2 linked regions of the Anolis sagrei genome follow. The protein of the gene in region 2 purifies or fractionates together with the protein of the main gene of each other region. This does not show direct contact. Links are inferred from orthologs where the notes say so. Each region holds a gene or a part of one and is shown on either strand. Other genes may lie near its edges.

The links.
Region 1: the proteins of KCMF1 (region 2) and ABHD10 purify together in Homo sapiens (affinity purification with mass spectrometry; 3 studies listed by BioGRID and IntAct, counting the BioPlex papers as one, with this or other methods). This does not show direct contact. The link is inferred for Anolis sagrei from reciprocal best matches to the Homo sapiens genes KCMF1 and ABHD10.

What each region holds. Positions count from the first base shown.
Region 1 is NC_090023.1:48,249,719-48,259,998, reverse strand, and holds the start of ABHD10 (palmitoyl-protein thioesterase ABHD10, mitochondrial), read right to left. Parts: upstream 3,909-10,280; 5' UTR 3,897-3,908; coding exon 3,764-3,896; intron 985-3,763; coding exon 801-984; intron 62-800; coding exon 1-61. Other genes in the region: PHLDB2 (pleckstrin homology-like domain family B member 2), read right to left, coding at 8,509-8,649. UniProt on the Homo sapiens protein: Acts as an acyl-protein thioesterase that hydrolyzes fatty acids from acylated residues in proteins.
Region 2 is NC_090022.1:156,906,424-156,916,672, forward strand, and holds the start of KCMF1 (E3 ubiquitin-protein ligase KCMF1), read right to left. Parts: upstream 4,354-10,249; 5' UTR 3,839-4,353; coding exon 3,823-3,838; intron 1-3,822. UniProt on the Homo sapiens protein: E3 ubiquitin-protein ligase which accepts ubiquitin from an E2 ubiquitin-conjugating enzyme and then transfers it to targeted substrates, promoting their degradation by the proteasome.

The sequences.
Region 1 (10,280 bases), on a different chromosome or scaffold from region 2:
CTTTCCCAATGTACTTTCTTTAGTACTGCCATCTGAACCTCCGCAACCTCTGTAATCAAACCTGTGGAGGAATAAAAATGAAAACATAGCTTTGTATAATCAGCAATGACCAAGATTACCATATACAAACTGCTTGGGAAGATGCCTGCAGCAAGATAGTTTTAACAGCAAATAATAATACTTTGATATTGTTTTAATCATGTTTTTAATTGCAGTTAGTTAATTTTTGTAAAACTTTTGCGAACATAATATTTTAGTTGTAGAGTCTTGCTTATTCAACATAAATGGGCCAGTAGAATGTTAGATAAGTGAAAATGTTGGATAATAAGGAGGTATTAAAGAAAAGCCTATTAAACGTCAAATTACATTATGATTTTACAAATTAAGCACCAAAACATCATGTTTTAAAACAAATTGATAGAAAAAGCAGTTCAATATACGATAATGTGATGTAGTCATTACTGTATTTACGAACTGAGCACCGAAACATTGCAATGTATTTAAACAGCTGTGGATCCAGGCAGGAGGCAGATTGTGTTGGATAATACAGTATGTTGGATGAGTGAAGGTTGGATAAGCGAGACTCTACTGTATCTTGTTTTTTATTTTTGTTTTTCTTTTTTTTACAAAAAAAAGAAGATCATTTTAGGTTCTGAATAAGGAGAGAGATGGGATGTAAATGCAATAAACATGTCAATAAAAATAAACATAATTCACTGACAACATGAACAGAACATTTAAAATAATGGAATGAAATATATGTGTCACACTAAGCACAAGTCTGTTCTGTTATAACATACCTGACAAAAGCATGGCCAACTGATTTACAGTAGTCTTCCAGTGCAAGTGCTTTTTCACCATTCATGTTTGAAAAAAGGCCTGGGAGGAAGACAACTCCAGGATTCTTTCCTTTTAGTTTATGATAGGCGAGTTTTGGAAGATCTGTCCGGTTAAGGAAACTGGGAGATGATTTTTGCCTGCAACCTACGCACACAAAAAAAATTGAACTTTTACATTTTTACTGCGGATATTGTTGAAACAAATTACAGGTCTACCGAAGTTAACAAATATGTTAGTTTTCCTCCCCATTCTCCAGCAACAAGAATAGGAAGATGAGGGGAAAGGGCTGGACCAACACGGGCTGTCACTGCTGGGTTGCAGTCATGTCAGCAGTTAATGCAGTAAAGCTGGAGCTGGTAAAGAATGGGATTCCACTCTAGTTGATCCAATTGTTGTTGAATGTATCTGCCTAAAACAGAGCAGCTGCCTCCAGAATCTCTTACTGAGCATGCACAAACAGCAAAGCAATGGAAAGTGAATATATCTGCATCACTAAGTATGTTAAACGACATCAACAAAAATGGTAAAACTGAAAAGTAGAGAAAGAAAATAAATCATCGTTGGCTACATTCTGGAAGAAACTTTCAAGTGTCATGCAGCGGCAAAAAAAGCCAATGGGATTTTGGCCTGCATCAATAAGACTATACTGTTTATATCCAGGGAAGTCATGCTTCCCCTCTATTCTGCCTTGGTCAGACCACACCTAGAATACTGTGTCCAGTTCTGGGCACTGCAATTGAAGGGAGATGCTGACAAGCTGGAATGTGTCCAGAGGGAGGTGACTAAAATGATCAAAGGGTCTGGAGAACAAGTCCTATGAGGAGAGGCTTAAAAAGCTGGGCATGTTTAGCCTGCCGAGGAAACTTGGCAGACATGCATAAATACGTGAGGGAGGAGGGAGCAAACTTGTTTTCTGCTGTCCTGGAGATTAGGATGCAGAACAAGGGCTTCAAATTACAGGAAAGGCGATTCCACCTGAGCATGAGGAAAAATTTCCTAACTGTGAGAGTTGTTCAACAGTGGAACTTTCTGCCCCAGAGTGTGGTAGAGGCCCCTTTGGAGGCTTTTAAATAGAGGCTGGATGGCCATCTGTTGGGGCTGCTCTGAATGCGAGTTTTCTGCTTCTTTGCAGGGAATTGAACTGGATGGCCCATGAGGTCTCTTCCAACTCTATGATTTTATCATTCTTCAGAAGGTTCAAAGTGTTTTTGTTTACTTACACAGGGCTTAAAATACCTGGTTGTTTCATATCGTAAATGCATACTGCTAATTTTAAATAAAAACATTGCTAGAGCATATCAAACTTCTCTTCTTTGTAGTGCAGGAACTAATCTCTCTTATTTTCCCACAGTGAGGACATCAGTTCCTCCATTCGTGCCTCTTTGAATTCTGCAGCACTGCTGGTTACAGCTGACCTCCAATTAGAGCACTCAAGGACCAGGGCTTCCCAGTTCTCTGTGTCTATGCCACAGGTTTTGAGGTTGGCTTTAAGCCCATTTTTAAATATCCTTTCCTGTCCACCAACATTCTTGAGTTGGGAGTATAGCAACTGCTTTGGGAAGCAGTGATCAGGCATTTGGACAACATGGCCAGTCCAGTGGAGTTGATGGGGATGTGTGTGTATATAAGTGTGTGTGAGATGTCCAGGGTGGGAGAAGGAACCCTTGACTGTTTGAAACAAGTGTGACTGCTGCCATTAGGAAGTCCTGCAATGTCTTCATAGAATCATAGAGTTGGAAGAGACCTTGTGGGCCATCCAGTCCAACCCCCTGCCAAGAAGGAGGAAAATTATTTATTTACAGTATTTATATATCGCCTTTCTCACCCCTGGTTGAGCAAAGCTTCTGAGGAAAGCATTTATTTTAGGGAGGTGATTAAATGATATGGCTTCAATAGAATCATAGAGTTGGAAGAGACCTCATGGGCCATCCAGTCCAACCTCCTGCCAAGAAGCAGGAAAATTGCATTCAAAGCACCCCCGACAGACAGCCATCCAGCCTCTGTTTAAAAGCTTCCAAAGAAGGAGCCTCCACCACACTCCGGGACAGAGAGTTCCACTGCTGAACGGCTCTCATAGTCAGGAATTTCTTCCTAATGTTCAGATGAAATCTCCTTTCTTGTAGTTTGAAGCCATTGTTCCGCGTCCTAGTCTCCAGGGCAGCAGAAAACAGTCTTGCTCCCTCCTCCCTATGACTCACATATTTATACATGGCTATTATGTCTCCTCTCAGCCTTCTTGTCTTCAGGCTAAACATGCCCAGCTCTTTAAGCCTCTCCTCATAGGGCTTGTTCTCCAGACCCTTGATCATTTTAGTCACCTCCCTCTGGACACATTCCAGCTTGTTAATATCTCTCTTCAATGATGGTGCCCAGAATTGGATATAATATTCCAGGTGCGGTCTAACCAAGGCAGAATAGAGGGATCTAGACCCTATACTCCTATTGATGCAGGCCAAAATCCCATTGGCTTTTTTTTGCCGCCGCATCACATTGTTGGCTCATGTTCAACTTGATGTCCACGAGGACCTCAAGATCTTTTTCACACGTACTGCTCTTGAGCCACGCTTCCCCCATTCTGTATCTTCACTCAGGACCCTTCCAGACAGGCCCTATATCCCAGGATCTGATTCCAAGTTTTAGCTTCCTCTAAAAGGAAAGGGGAAGGAACAATGGAAAGGTTGGTTCAGAAGTAGAAGGCTTCAGGTGCCTCTACAGCAGGCCTGAGCTAACTTGGGCCTTCCTGGTATTTTGGACTTCAACTCCCAGCATTCCTAACAGCCTCAGGCCCTGAAAGGAATGCTGGGAGTTGAAGTCCAAAACACCTGGAAGGGCCAAGTTTGCCCAGGCCTGCTGTAGAGGCACTAGTTGTCTTCGACCTGTGGCAAAAGGCACAGGGAGGCGCCCCACTCGCTCAGTCACTCACCCAGCCGAGAGACGGCCGGCCCCCAGCGCAGCCTCTCCCGCCACAGCAGCCTCGTGGCCCCGGAGAGCGCCATCCGCCAGAGCCCCGCAGCAACACACCCCTTTCCTTGGCCGCTCCGTGAGCTACTGAGCATGCGCCGGGTTCGCTGGAAGGAGGAGGAAATTGTCACTGCGCAGGCGCCGGAAACTGTCCGCTCTAGGCATTGCTCTTTACCTCTTATCTCTACAGGAGAGAAGTCTCGAAGAGGAACATAAATCATTCAACCATAGAGCGACGACCTCTTCTCTTAGAATGGAGCTTCCGGGTTGATTTTTTTGCCACCCCCCCCCCCCCCACTATTGTCTTTGGGGCAAAAATGGCTACAGCAAACATGAGCAAACATTGGCCCTCCAGGCCTACTGTGAGAGATGATGAGACTTGTAAAGTACCTACCTTTTCAGAATGCTCTTTGATTGTAGGTGAACTATAAATCCCAGTAACTACAACTTCTAAATGTCAAGGTCTATTTCCCCCAAACGCCTTCTGTGTTCACACCTAGCTCCAGCAGAGAAGAGCTCTTTGCCCCCGCCCCAGGCATTCCACAGATATATAAACCCATTGTCCTAATTCCAACAGACCTCACTACCTCTGAGGATGCTTGCCATAGATGCAGGCGAAACGTCAGGAGAAAATGCCTCTAGAACATGGCCTTATAGCCCAAAAAAACCCACAAGAACCTAGTGATTCCAGCCATGAAAGCCTTCTACAATAAACCCTTCTAGTGTTTTCTGTTGGTCATGGGAATCCTGTTGCCAAGTTTGGTTCAATTCCATCATTGGTGGAGTTCAGAATGCTCTTTGATTGTAGGTGAACTATAAATCCCAGCAACTACAACTCCCAAATGACAAAATCATTTTTTTTTACTGATGGTCACTCCTTGGATTAGTACAGAAGTGGGGAATGCTTTCAGATTGGCTGACAGGTGCTGCAATCCCACCTCTCCAAGGGAATCCTCCCCAGCCAGCTGTGACGTCAACAGGGCTCCACCAATCAATGCCAAACCGGCCACAGTTGGGGCAGGAAATACAAAGTTTATGATTGTATAAAATGCTTGTTTTTTCTCTGTATGGTATCTTAGCTTCCTTTAGCATTTTACTGTAAGCTGTCATCCTTTCCAGTTGGATCGAAATAAAATCACCTTGGTGGCTTCTTCAACTTGATGAAATTTCTTGATTGGAGAACATTGGGCTAGCTTCTTTGTCTCACCAGGCACACAGACCCACAGGCGACCCGCTGCCGGTATCTGCCTAACATAAATTGGTATCTGCGCTCTGGGTTTTGCTATCTGTGGCCCATATTGCACTATCCGTGGCCAGTCCAAATTGTTCTATTTCAATATAATAATAAAACTTTATTTCTATGCTGCCCTCTTCTCTGTTAGGACTCAGGTTGGTCCTGTCTGATCTTTAAAGCTAAACAAAGCCAACTCTGATAAATACTTAGATAGGAGACCACCAGTGACTACCAGGTGTAGGTGATATTTTAGAGCAGGGGTCCTCAAACTAAGGCCTGGGGGCTGGATACGGCCCTCCAAGGTCATTTACCCGGCCCTCGCTCAGGGTCAACCTAAGTCTGAAACTACTTGAAAGCATACAACAACAATCCTATCTCATCAGCCAAAAGCAGGCCCACACTTCCCATTGAAATACTAATAAGCTTATATTTATTAAAATTGTTCATTTTAATTATTGTTTTAAAGTGTTTTTTGCACTACAAATAAGGTATGTGCAGTGTGCATAGGAATTCATATTTTTTTTCAAATTATAATCCGGCCCTCCAACAGTTTGAGAGACTGTGATCTGGCCCTCTGTTTAAAACGTTTGAGGACCCCTGTTTTAGAGGAAGGAGATGGAAAACCAGTCAGGATTCTCTTAGCCTATGAAATTGATGGGGATGCCATAAATGAATAAGCAACTTGAACATGAATAAGCAACTTGAACATACAATCACAAGAGAACAAAGGACCTGATTCACATACATCTAACAAATGGATTTACTACTCAAGTGTTTTCAATTTTCAGAGTTTTCTCCCCATGGATTTTGGAATACTTGCACACAGTGGTCATCAGTCCCCATCTTTAATGGAGATAGATAAGGCATGGGCAAACTTCATCTCTCCAGCCTGCTTTGGACTTCAACTTCCACAATTCCTAACAGCTGGTAGGTTTCGTACCTACAACAACCCAGCTGGTAGGCTGTTAGGAATTGTGGGAGTTGAAGTTCAAAAAACCCGGAGGACCGAAGTTTGCCAATGCCCAAGCTAGATGCAACTTGTAAAGCATGGGCTGGTTTGAAGTCAGATTAAAGTGTATAATGATAACACAATCTGTTAGTGAGAAATCAGACACATTGTTTGAAAAGCTACTATTGAACATTTGTTTAGATTTTATTACAACATGCAAGATACAAAACAAATAGAAAACCTGTAAAATTGTACAGATATTCAAAATACATGATAGAAAGTATATAAACCAAACCCATTTGTGTTTTGCCTTTTTTCAGACACTGCAATTACAATCAAATCTCTAAAGCAAATTAGTTCTTTTACAATCAGTGAGATCCAGATGTAGTCACAGATTGACCCACTGAAGTCAATGGGGCATAAGTTTTGCAAGGTCATAAATCCAATCCATTGTCTCTGCCTCGCTTCATCTTCAGCCAGATTTTATTCATGACAAATCAGATGTAAGTTTTAATCGGCTCAAATTTTGTTACGCAATCTTAAAATCATTTACTATAAAGTAGTTTACTGATTTTAAGTGAATATACCTTTTAAATTCAGATCATAATCACACTTACAAGTATTTTTTTTTAATTAGAGTCACATTCAAGTAAATACATTTAGGACTGTGAACTCTTACAACTACGCTACTGCCACACTGTGACATTTAAAAAAATCCAGCTCTCTTCACACGGAATATACTTTAGGATTACAGCCATTTCAGAAAATGTGATTTAATATTTATACGTTTTAGAAACAGAAACATTTTTAGTTTATTGCATTGAGAAAAACATATGGCACAAAATCCAATTATTAAAAGAGGATATCAAACGCAGACCTGAAGTTCAAAATTCAATCAATCATCTGAATACAATATCCAAGACTACAGAGGCATTTTAAATTGGAAAAAATCTCTTAAGAAATATATAATCTTTACAAGAGAGGTATGGCAATCCATTGCATGAAAACATCAACCATTATGGACTGTTGGTGGGTTGCCACTTTAAGACCATCAAACTGGAACTGATCCACTGGATCTGAAAAGTTGCTTCCCACTGTTGTCAGGTTTATTTTCTTATTCATTTCTGTCCAGCACTGTCTATTCTGACTTGAGGATTTAAGCTTTTCTTTATCTCTTTGTTTAAATAATGCCCGGGCTTGAACTTGGGACCTTTTATATGCAAAGTAGGTGATCTAACACTATCTCTTGCATCATTTATTTGATAACCAGGGAAATCAAAAGTAATATATACTTTATCTAGCTGGTAGGAAAATAATATATTTATATTCCAATCAGCCTTCCATATTTGCAGGTTTAACTATTGTAGATTTGATTATGTGCAGATTTCTCTCTAGGTCCTCTTATGGTAATTCTATGGACCACCTCTGTCTGAAGTGAGGACCTCACTACCTCTGAGGATGCTTGCCATAGATGCAGGCGAAACGTCAGGAGAAAAATTGCCTCCAAAACATGGCCATATAGCCCGGAAAAACCTACAACAACCCAGTGTAGAATCAACCATAGTCTTGACATGGAAGTATTGAGTTTGTGAAGAGCTTCCATGGGACTTCATGGCATTTCCTTCTCCCATTTCTACCCTATTATGTATGTCTTATATGGGATCTAGATATTCTAGTATCTGCTAGAAATGAAGGAATAATGCTGTGGATAAAGCAGATGGTTTTCACTTTTGAAGAAATTAACCAATAGAACGAAATCATTACAAAATGAGCATGACAATAAAAAATCATTTGATATTGTTCTTGGAAGAAGGTTTTTGAAATGTTTCAAGAATATTTTGAAAGTTCTTTCACATGCATATCTGAAGCATACTCATAGCTTGTGTCCAGTATTTGCAAATTAAAAAGTGAATGGTAATATTTTTTGAAACTTCATTACTATGTATGAAAGATTTTAAAACCCTCATTGCGCAGATGCTAAATCTCATTGTAATAGTATGAATCTTTGGTGATCTAGTAAATTAAAACAGAAACACCACACATTGTAGTTTAAAATGTGTTATAAAATACTTATAAAATTAAAATTGTATAGAAATCCCATACATTAAAAAATTAACCATCATAACTTTCCCTTTTTCTTCTTAATTTTGAAATACTGGAAATATACCAACAAGGTTCAAACAAAGAAGTTTGTTTTTTATTAAGAAAGTTCTGCATGATAAAATCTGCAGGGAAATGCCATAGAATCTGCTGGGACAGGCTTATGGCAATCTGATTATCCATTTTGGAGCACCACAATCTTTTAAGCAGCTTTTCTTTTCTTCTGCTATGACAGTGATTAACATATCTAAGAATTAATTCTGCCTTACACAGCATGGGTTTCATTTTGGACGACAAAGGTAGGCAGATCTGTGCGTTCTTGCTATTTTGTGATGCTCATCAAATGTGACAGAATATGGCTTGCATCCCCAGATTTGAGGCTGTTATTGCATTATGCCCTGCCAATGGACTTTTGCACCGTTTTCTACAACATGAAGTGGGTATAGCCTTCTGCTCCGGTCACGATTACGTCCATCCATATCCGCATAGCTTCTGGTGTTGGGGCTACCATGTAATATATTCTGTCATGAGTCTTAACACTGAAGGTAAGCAATGGATTAGGACTCTATGAAAAAAGAAAAATACACAATTTGATCTCTTGGACAAGTTAAGCAAGATGGCTCATATTCTCTGGACTTTTGGAAAGTACAACTTGCACACATTTTTTTTCTACTGACTATCACAAAGGGTAGAAAAGGCAGTTCCCCCTCCCTCGCCTCACATATGTGTTCGGTGTAACATATGAAAAATTCCATGTAACACTGAAGGAATAATTTCTGCTGGTACTAAATACCTCAAAAGTTAACCTGTGCAGACTCCTACTAATTGGTCAGGAAGCCAATTCCTCCTAGCCACTTCTCACCTTTCACAGCAAACTCAAATACCTTGATTTTCCCCCTGCAGTTCCTCTCAAAATGGTGGCAAATAGGGATATCTTGTAACTTCCAGTTTTGAGAGGTACTGCAGAGGTAATGGAAGAATGTGGGAGCAGTACTACCCATATGTTGCTATTTATGTGTGAGTGTGTGTGTCTGAGGGGTGGGATGGGGTTCTGTGTGGTTTGAAAGGAGGGGAAAGCCTGAAAATCACTATTTTTTACGGGGGTGGATTTTGTGGGTGTCGACCACTGACAATAGAAATATAGGGACAACAAAAATATCTTCATGAGCTGCAAGGAAGAATCTGAAACTAGTTCTTCCTCCATTTCTCCAGTGTTTGAGCAGGAGATCAAGCACCTTCCAAAGTTCTCAGGACTATATTATAAGTGAAATTTATAAATTGAAGACTTTGGGCCCTTCAACACATGCTGTAAACCCCAGAAGTAACCAGTTTAAAAGGGTGGGAGGGATTGGGTTAAGAGGTTAAAAACACATATTAAAAAGGTGTGCTTGTAACTTGATTCTGGCTGAAAAATGCATACCTTTGCATGACTATATCTCTGCAGTTATGCAAAACAAAACAAACAAAAAAACCCTCCAAACCTCCCAAAACACAAAAACAAAACAGTCTTTCCTCCTCCCCCCCCCCCCCCGTATAGATGCTCCAGATCACATGCACTTTTAAAAAACCTGAAAACAATTGATCGAGTTGTCAAACGGACATGCAGGTGGTTCAAGGGAAGCACAAATGGAGCAATTAGAACTCTCTGAAACTTTCTTTTACATTTTATAATCTTAAACAGAGGTTGAATTAACAATTGGGGAAGAGAGAGGTCCAACAGAATTCATTCCGTTATGCGCTGGACCTCATATGCAAATCTGCTTATATTTATATTAAGATATTCGCATGTGCACATGTAAGGTCCAGCACATATTGAAGTGAATTTTAGTTTTTTTAAAAAAACTTCTGCCAGATATCTTCCGTCTATCCTTTATCTTGATCCACTTCAAAAGAAGACTGCGTGGATGGCGGGGGAACATTTTCTGGGACTGACAGGTCTGCTGTCAGGTCCTGGGATTTTTAAACCCACTTTTAAAATATGGATTTTGGCGCAGTCTGGAAGTGCCCTTAGAGGCCAGTTTCTAACCATATAGTTACCTCTTATACCATCAGAGATGTGTGCTTCTCATCCATAATTTCTTTATAGCCTACTTCAGCCCAGTATAAAGTATCAACATATAAAAAACAGTGATATAAATATCTATAAAATTTACAGAATGAAATAAAATTAGTATATATGGGATAAAAAGGACTTTT
Region 2 (10,249 bases):
CTTGTGTCATCATTATGAATGAGTACTTCAACAATATTTCCCGTCCTTCAGACAATAATCTTTACTTCATCCACCACAGAATTTGATGAAATCATGTTAAAAAGATTATGAGATACCTCTTTTACTAAACTATCATATATCATACCCCAAATGATCAAATGATTCATAAGTCACACATGATTTCAATATTTCTTACTATCATGCATACTGTATTCAACCCTTCAATTCCTCTCATTTTGTTTTCTGAACATTTAATTCAGTGTCAGCAATACACACTATATACAGGGAAAAATGAACTATCTTCTACGCTGCCTTTTGTCACACTGCAAACTGTGAGAGGCAAAAGATAGTGAGCATTACATATCTAGGAAAAGATAAAAATTCTAAAGTATCAACCTTGTACACCTGCATGTCAAAAAGCACCTTCTGGAAAGAGCATGTAAAACAATGTCTATGGTAAAATGTTTACTCAGCCATATCGATAAGACTAAAATATATTTTAACTTGCTGAAAATTTAACTTCAAGCCTCACTTGTAGTAAATACACATGGAAATGTACTAAGATCATAGCACACAATACAAATCAGTGAATAACTATTTCTTCAGTGCTAAAACACCACTGAATGTAAAGCACACACTGTCAATACCATCAACAGAATATATACACACACATACAGGCAGTCCCTATGAAATGAACAAGATAGAAAGATTCTTTTTTTAAAGTATTGTTTTTGTTAGTTTTAGGAAACATAGGGAAAGGTTAACACCACTATGATGTTTGTTTTGCTTTCTGTTCAGATGATTTCAACTCACTTTCTGTCCCTGTGATCATTGGATTTTGAAAGGTTTGGCCTGTTGTGGAAACAAGGGCTGGTGCTAAAGATTCAGTGGAGACACTTGTACCCATGGTAACTCTTTCAGGAGTAAGTTTCCCTTCCTAGGGGTCGATTCCTTTCACTTCCTGTTGTCTCACCTCTGTTCTTAACTATGTGTCAGATGTAAGTTGGACTGCCTATACACACAGAGAGAGAATCCCTGAGTTGTAGATAGATAGATAGATAGACAGACACACACACACACACACAAATGAATCTGCATTTCTAGGATGCACCTTGTGTTTAGAAATATTTATATGTGGGGGAAGTGCATCTTAGGACCTCATCACACTAGAGCATGGATACACTTTAAATCCAGTTTCTGCCTCCTGCAGAATTCTGGGGCTTGTAGTTCAGGGGGGGGGGGGGCTTCAAACTCCTCAGCCAGGCAGGAGACAGACACTGGATTTAAAGTGGATCCTTGCTTTGGTGTGTAGAGGTTGTTAGAATCAAAGAAATACAGTATATCAACTATTAGATCCTATTCTGCATTATGATCCTTCTCAAGCTTAAATGATATTTTACACAACTTTTTCGTTCCTAATATAAACAGCTGAACATATGCAGAATCTCTTCCCAACCCTAAACTTCCTCTTTGAAGCTCACTTCCTGCTATAAGCACCCTCAACTCCCAACACAAATCCTGACACACCTTCTTCGCCCTGTCACACCAACACGTCCACACTTCGAAGTCCTCTGGCCTGCACTGCTGCCAACCCAGCCTCGCCCGGGAGCGTACCTCAACCCCACCCAGAGCTATGGTCAACATGCATCTTGAAGCCCTTCCACATGCCATATAATCCATAATATTAAGACAGAATAACCCACAATATCTGCCTTGAACCAGGTTATCTGAGGCCCCTTCCACACAGCTGAATAAAACCCCACATTTCTGCTTTGAACTGGAATATATGCCAGTGTAGACTCAGATAACTCAGTTCAAAGCAGATATTGTGGGATTTTCTGACTTGATACACTGAGTTATCTGGCTGTGTGGAAGGACCCCGAGTCCACACTGCCATATATCCCAGTTCAAAGCAGATACTCTGGGTTATATGGCAGTATGGAAGGGCCCCCGAGTCCACAGTGCTATATATCAAAGCCCCCTTCCACACATTTGAATATAATCCCACATTATCTGCTTTGAACTGGATATATGTCAGTGTGGACTCAGATAACCCAGTTCAAAACAGATATTGTGGGATCTTATTCAGTGGTGTGGAAGGGGACTTGCTCTCCTTTTCCAACAGCACAATGACAAGAGAGCCCATCTAGACGTGTGTGCACCCCATGTTGCCTCCCCATTACATCTCCCGCTCAAGTAAACAAACACAGGTCCCTTCCACATAGCCATATAACCCGGAATATCAAGGCAGAAAATCCCACATTATCTGCTTTGAACTGGAATATATGGCAGTGTGGACTCAGATAACCCAGTTCAAAACAGATATTGTGGGATTTTCTGGAATATATGGCAACATGAACTCGATAACCCAGTTCAAAGCAGATACTGTGGGATGTTCTGCCTTGATATTCTGGGATATAGGGTTATGTGGAAGGGCCCTGAGTCCACGCTGCCATATATTCCAGTTCAAAGCAGATAGTGTGGGGTTTTCTGCCTTGATATTCTAGGATATAGGGCTATGTGGAAGGGCCCTGGGCCCATGCTGCCATATATTCCAGTTCAAAGAAGATAGTGTGGGATTTTCTGTCTTGATATTCTGGGATATAGGGCTATGTGGAAGGGCCCTGGGTCCACGCTGCCATATACTCCAGTTCAAAGCAGATAGTGTGGGATTTTCTGGAATATATGGCAACGTGGACTCAGATAACCCAGTTAAAGCATATACTGTGGGATTTTCTGCCTTGATATTCTGGGATATAGGGCTATTTGGAAGGGCCCTGAGTCCATGCTGCCATATATTCCAGTTCAAAGCAGATAGTGTGGGGTTTTCTGCCTTGATATTCTAGGATATAGGGCTATGTGGAAGGGCCCTGTGTCACGCTGCCATATATTCCAGTTCAAAGCAGATAGTGTGGGATTTTCTGGAATATATGGCAACCTGGATTCAGATAACCCAGTTCAAAGCATATACTGTGAGATTTTCTGCCTTGATATTCTAGGATATAGGGCTGTGTGGAAGGGCCCTGGGTCCATGATGCCATATATTCCAGTTCAAAGCAGATAGTGTGGGATTTTCTGGAATATATGGCAACCTGGACTCAGATAACCCAGTTCAAAGCATATACTGTGAGATTTTCTGCCTTGATATTCTGGGATATAGGGCTGTGTGGAAGGGCCCTGGGTCCACGCTGCCATATATTTAGTTCAAAGAAGATAGTGTGGAATTTTCTGCCTTGATATTCTGGGATATAGGGCTATGTGGAAGGGCCCGGGGTCCACGCTGCCATATACTCCAGTTCAAAGCATATACTGTGGGATTTTCTGCCTTGATATTCTGGGATATAGGACTATGTGCAAGGGCCCTGAGTCCACGCTGCCATACACTCCAGTTCAAAGCAGAGAGTGTGGGGCTTTATTCAGCTGTGTGGAAGGGGCCACACTTCCAATCGGCCTGGCCAAACTTTTCCTCTGGGCGCCCCACCGAAATTACGTTCCACGTGCGGGGCCACGTCCCTCTACAACCCGCTTCGTGGGAAATTAGAATAAATCCACGGCTCTTCCGGCTAGGCCCGGCTCTCCTCCTCTGCCACGGCAACCCAGAAGGGCCAAGGGAGAGCCAGGCCGAGCGCACAACCCAACCGCAGGGCGGGGCCTAGGCCCAGTAGGGCGGCCGAGGCCTGGCTCTCGGCGGAGGGGAGCCGTAACGGACACCCAGGCCTGGCCCATGACGAGGCAAAGCAGGCCTGGCCCGCCTTCCGGGCTTCGAAACCGCGCAGGGAGCCGCCATGATGCCCCCCTCCCTCCTTTCCCTCAGCCACTCACCTTCATGTCGGGACATCCTAGTTCACGAAGAGGAGGCGGCGGTGGTAGTAGCAGAGGCAGCGGCCCGGCCCGGCCCAGACCAGGCCCGTCGCGGGCTCCAGTTCCCCCCCCGTCCCCGCCTCCTCCCTCCCGCCCTCCCCGGCCTGGGCCTTGGCCGCCTCCTCCTCCTCCTCCCGCTGCCGCTGCTGCTCCTCCTCCTCCGTCCTGGCCTGGCCTGGCCGGGGCCCCCTCCTGAGGGGCGCGCGAGAGGCGAGGGGGGGGGAGAAGCCAAGGGAGGAGGAGGAGGAGGAGGCGGCTGAGGCGGCGGTGGGTCCCCTCCTTAAGGCCCTTCCTCCCACGGTGACTCCGCCGGCAGCAGCAGCAGCAGCAGCTCCTCTAAGCGCCGCCTCTCCTCGACGACGACGACAACGGCGGCCGCTTTCGTCCCTGACTTCCCCTCCCTCACAGGAGGAACAGCAGCAGCGCCGCCAAGGCCTACTCCCCTTCCTCCTCCTCTTTCCCAGCTTCCTCTCCTTCTCTCTCTCTCTCCCTGCCCAGAGGAAGAGGAAATCGCTCAAAGGGGAAGGGAGGGGGGAGGAGGAGAAGGGAAGGGGGCTCGCGCTCTGCCTCGCGCTTCCTCTCTCTCCTAATGCTTTCCCGCCTCCTCCTCCTCCTCCTCTGCTCCCTCAGCACGGCGCGCGCCTCAATGGCCTGCCTCGCGACCGTTTTGAAATCTATCCATATATATATATCTAGAGAGAAAGAGAGAGCTGTGTAAAAGGGCCCTGAGTTCACACTGCCATGTATTCCAGTTCGAAGCAGATATTGTGGGATTTCCTGCCTTGATCATTCTGTTTTATATGGCTGTGTGGAAGGGCCCTAAGTTATACTGCTGTGTGGAAGGGCCTTTCATGGCAGGTCTTATATTTATTTATTTATTTATTTATTATTTAAAACATTTATATTCCGCCCTTCTCACCCCGAAGGGGACTCACAGCATATACATGGCAAACATTCAATGCCGGGACACAGATGCACATACAATACATAAACATTAAAAAAAATTGATCAAAATATTAAAATACCATTTAAAACCGTCCTAGCCATCCGCATCAAATCCAATTGGCCCTGTCATCTTTCCCACAGCCGCTTCATTGCCCTGTCCCAGAAGTTTGGTCCCACAGACAAGTTTTTACCATCCTTCTAAAGGACAGGAGGGAGGGGGCCGACCTGATCTCACCAGGAAGGGACTTCCATAGCTGGGGAGCAATCACCAAGAAGGCCCTGTCTCGTCCCCACCAATTGTGCCTGTGACAATGGCGGGACAGAAAGCCTCCCCGGAGGATCTTAATCTCTGATAGTTTATAGGGGGAGATGCATTTGGACAGGTAATTTGGGCTGCGGCCGTTGAGGGCTTTATAGGCCAAAGCCAGCATTTTGAATTGTGCCCGGTAGCAAACTGATAGCCAGTGGAGCTGGCGTAACATGGGAGTTGTATGCTCTCTGTATGCCGCCCCAGTTATTAAACTGGCAGCCTCTCGTTGGACTATTTGAAGCTTCCAAGCAGTCTTCAAAGGCTATATCCCAGGGATCTAATCCCAGGTTTTTTGTTTATCCCATGGCCCATCCACACAGCCATATAACCCTAAAGCAAGGGTCTTCACACTTTTAAAACAGAGGGCCAGGTCACAATCCCTCAAACTGTTGGTGGTCCGGATTATAATTTGAAAAAAACAAACAAAAAAACATGAATGAATTCCTATGCACACTGCACATATCTTCTCTGTAGTGAAAAAAAAAACACTTAAAACTAATACAATAATAATAATGAAGAACAATTTTAACAAATACAAACTTATTAGTATTTCAATGGGAAGTGTGGGCCTGCTTTTCGCTAATGCGATAGAATTGTTAATGTGTGCTTTCAAGTCGTTTCAGACTTAGGTTGACCCTGAGCGAGGGCCGGGTAAATGACCTTGGAGGGCCATATTTGGCCCCCAGGCCTTAGTTTGCCCTAGAATATCAAGGTAGATAACCCCACAATATTTGCTTTGAACTGGGTTATCTGAGTCCACACTGCCACATATCCCAGTTCAAAGCAGATAATGCGAGATTTTATGCAGCTGTGTGGAAGGGCCCTCAGCTCTGTCCTCCGGGTTTGTAGTGACACCAGAGGCTCTCTGATAGAGAAGTGTTCAGTTCCCCACACAACTACACATCCCAGAATTCATTGGCAGCTAATATATCGAACTGCTATCATTCTATCTTGTGAATACCACCTTAGGCCATATCATCCGGAGCCCTTCCGCATACCACATAACCCAGAATATCAAGACAGAATAACCCACAGTATCTATTTTGAACTGAGTTATCTGAGGGCCGTTGCACACAGCCATTTAAGACAAAAGATCAAGGCAGCTAATCCACGCTGCCATACAATCCAGTTTAATGTGGATTTTATACAGTTGTGTAGAAGGAGCCTGAAGAAGTAGTTGATCATTCACACTGCAGGGTGGAAGGCGCCACTTTTCAACTAACTGCCACAGCTCCGTTCTATCGGATAATCGGGTTTGTGGTTTTGGTGGCACCAGGGGCCCTCTGATAGAGAAGTGTTCAGTGCCTCACACAACACATCCCAGAATCCATTGATGGCTAATGTATCAAATTGCTATCATTCTGTCTTGTGGATTCTGGCTTAGGCCATATTATCCAGGGCCCTTCCACACCGCCATATAAACCAGAAGATCAAGGCAGATAATCCACAATATCTGCTTTGAACTAGGTTATCTGTCCACACTGCCATTTATTCCAGTTCAATGTGGATTTTATACAGCTGTGTAGAAGGGGCCGCGGTTTCTGAGTGCAGATTATCTGCTGTAAAGTGGATTATATAAGTTTACACTGCCATATGGTCCTGTTTAAAGCAGACCATCTGCATCAAGAAACTGGATCATATGGCAGTGTAGATGGGACCTCAATTTTTGATGCAAGTACGCAATTCTTCATAAAACCTTATTTTGCCAAATTCTTTGTCTCCGCCTCAACTCAAAGATCACTTTGTGTACTGATATTCCAGATTTAGATGGCTAAGTCTTTGAATTCTCCAGGCGATAGTTTTGGCCTCACACATCCCAATTATACAATAGTGAGAATAGCACAGAAGTATGAGGAAGGCAGTGGGGATTATGATTTTCAAGTCAAGATGCAGAAAGGCTTGGGCTTCTGGGGGCCCTTCCACATAGTCCCATATCCCAGAATATCAAGGCAGAGTATCCCACGATACCTGCTTTGAACTGGGTTATCTGAGTCCACACTCAGATAATATGAGATTTCCTGCCTTGATATCCTGGGATGTAGGGCTGTGTGCTTTCCCTCTCAAACTCATATTATTCTGAAATTGTTTCTGCTCCCCCCACTCCCACCCACAAAACCACAGGCATTTCTGTCCTCGAATTCTCTTACCAGAATCTCCCACACTGGGAATAGGATAATGTGTTTAAACTCACAAAATCTTATCTTATGACTGAGAGCTAAACTAGAAATATCTGTATCCTCAGGAGGGAAGGACTCCCCAAAGTTATATTCAAGTCCCAGTGGGTTCATCTGAGCTAACAAACCAGACGCCTCATTCTTGGATATTCTTCTCTAGACTACACGTATATGTGGCCCAGAATCTCTTGTTCATTTCCAAACATTGTAATGATTAGTATACGTTTATTGGACAACAGTTAAAAAGAGGGACATTATGTATAAAGTTATCCAGGTAGGGAAAATTGCAGCCACAGAAGATGCTGTGCACTTCTTTGTTCCTGACACAATCTCAACCAGCAATCGAGCTAGTTGTCATTCTCAGACAAGAGATAAGAATAAAGTGGGAAGGGGCTCCATTGAGAAATTTGTTTTTCCATTTTTTTATTATTTGTAATCAATTAAGACTTTATTGAATGAGCTAAAGATTAAAGTGCCGACTTATTGGGAAGAACAAGACACATATATTCTAATTATTTTGCGTATGCCCAAAGGCACTAATCTGAGGCTCTGGGTCCAGATTTTCCCCCATAATAGCCAGCAGCATCACCACAAAAGATCTGGGCATAAATCTGTGGCAAAATAACTTTCTGGAGGGATATCTTAGAGGAGTGGATGCAGCCCACATAAACAGGTTGTCTGCCTGTCCCCCAAGATCCTTGTTATAAAGCAGGAATGGGCAACTTTTGTCTCTCCAGATCTGGACTGCAGTGCCCATTAGATTTAATGAGGATACCTGGAATGTATGCTGAGAAATGTAGTTCGTATAGAAATAATGCCAGGCACAAATTGCCCGTCCATCTTATACAAAGGTGACAGGATAAAACATTTCTTCAGCACATAATGATGGATGCTGTAATTCAACACATTTGAAGAGCACTAGATTGAGAAACGGGGTGAATATAAGTAGCATTAGAGCAGAGACATGATATGAGAAATCCTTAGTTCGAACTTCCCTGAAGTGATAAAACTACAGAGAAAATACATGTGTATAATAGCATGGACAAAATATTCTCAATGCCATAATTATTAATCTTATTTTTCCACGGCAATTTCTAGTTTTGTTTTATATTACCATATTTCATTTATGCATCCACCAACATCTGTCTGGAAGTAGCAGCCAGTAATGAAAGGACCAAGGCATTGACATCTCCGGCCCAGCCTCTGTATGGATATAAGTCAGCACGCTAATGTCTTAAATCAAGAAACAGCTTCCTAAGATCTACAGAGATACTTGCGGGAACATCTCAGCAAGCGAGAGTCCAAAAGTGGAAGGTTAAAACCCGAAACCTCAATCAGTGGCTGATACTGGATGAGAAACTCCCTCCTGGGCACAAAGAAGATTGGGCGACTTGGAAGGCACTGAACAGACTGCCCCCTGGCACCATGAGATGCAGGGCCAATCTTAAGAAATGGGGCTACAAAGTGGAGTCCATGACATGTGAGTGTGTAGAGCAAACCACAAACCACTTACTACAATGCAGTCTGAACCCTGTCACATGCACAATGGAGGACCTTCTTACAGCGACACCAGAGACACTTGAAGCAGCCAGCTTCTGGTCAAAGGAAATTTAGCACAATGCCAAGTTTTTAACTTTGTGGTTTTTTAATACATTTTTTTATACAAAGGAAGCAATGCCTACTTTTGCTAGACTCTCCGAGGAAGGAATAAATATAAAGGAAAAGGTTACATGAAGAAGCAAGTTTCTCAGTTTCTTAGTGTGTTCCAAGAGAAGATCCTGGATCCCTTAGTGACCCAGAAACTTGGAAAACATTTCCAAACTGTCTTTTCTGCTTCTGATACAGAATTCTCAATTTGCTGACACGATAAATATATAATAACATCACTTAGCAGAGTAACACATTTGACCACATAGAACACAGATTGAACAAGTACATTTTAATTCGATGTTGGCAAAGATGTTCTTTCAGCATTTGAAACAGAACACTGATAATTGATCAGTACTACTGCTATAGTTTACATAAATTTCTGGAAATGAATGTTTAAATTGCTGTTGTTTTACAGAGAGTGAATAAAATTGTTAGAGGCTTGTCTTCTGGATTTCCTTCCATTCCAAGTACAGAGTTCTACTTGTGCCATATCTCCATTAGGAGAAAGTCCCTTGCATCCTCTCTCCAGATAAACTGGATTGCTGAAAAATACTCTAGAATGCAGATGTTATACTACCAGGTGATCTCTCCATGGACTGAAGGCCTTATAAGGGAAGACCCATGTACTCTCACTGACAATTAGTTACAAAACATTGTACTAGCTTTTGAAAACCACAAATGCTTATACAAAAATAAATTGCCTAGTCTTAAAGATTCCACTTGATTTCACACACACACATACCAGATGAAATCTGCATATTACTGGTAGGTAAATCTACTTACTTTGAATTGCATTTCTTGTTTTCTCTTGATTTTAGGATTTGTTCTTATACGACATCAAATTAGCTTCAACTTATGACAACAATATGAATAAGAGATTTTCAAGATACCTTGCCATCAATGGCCCTTCTTAGTTCAATAAACTCAGAGCTGTGGTTTCCTTGAATTAGCCTATCCAGCTGTAAAGCAATATTCCTCTTTTCCTATTGCAACTCACAAAGTTGCGTCATTTCATAATATGGCCAAAGTATAATAGCCTCAGTTTGGTCATTTTGGCTTCTAGGGAGAGTTCAGTGTTGATTTACTCTAAGACACATGTATTTGTCTTTACAATTCACGGTATCCATAAAGTTCCCCTTCACATTTCCATTTGTTTATTATTCACTTGTCAACTTTCTTCACTATCCACCTTTCACAACCATACATGGAAATACAATGGTGTGAATAACCCTGTATGAAATTGGTATGAAATTACGTATATTTACACTTAGGTCAGGGGAGGAAGCCTACACCAATGGTATCCCATGAA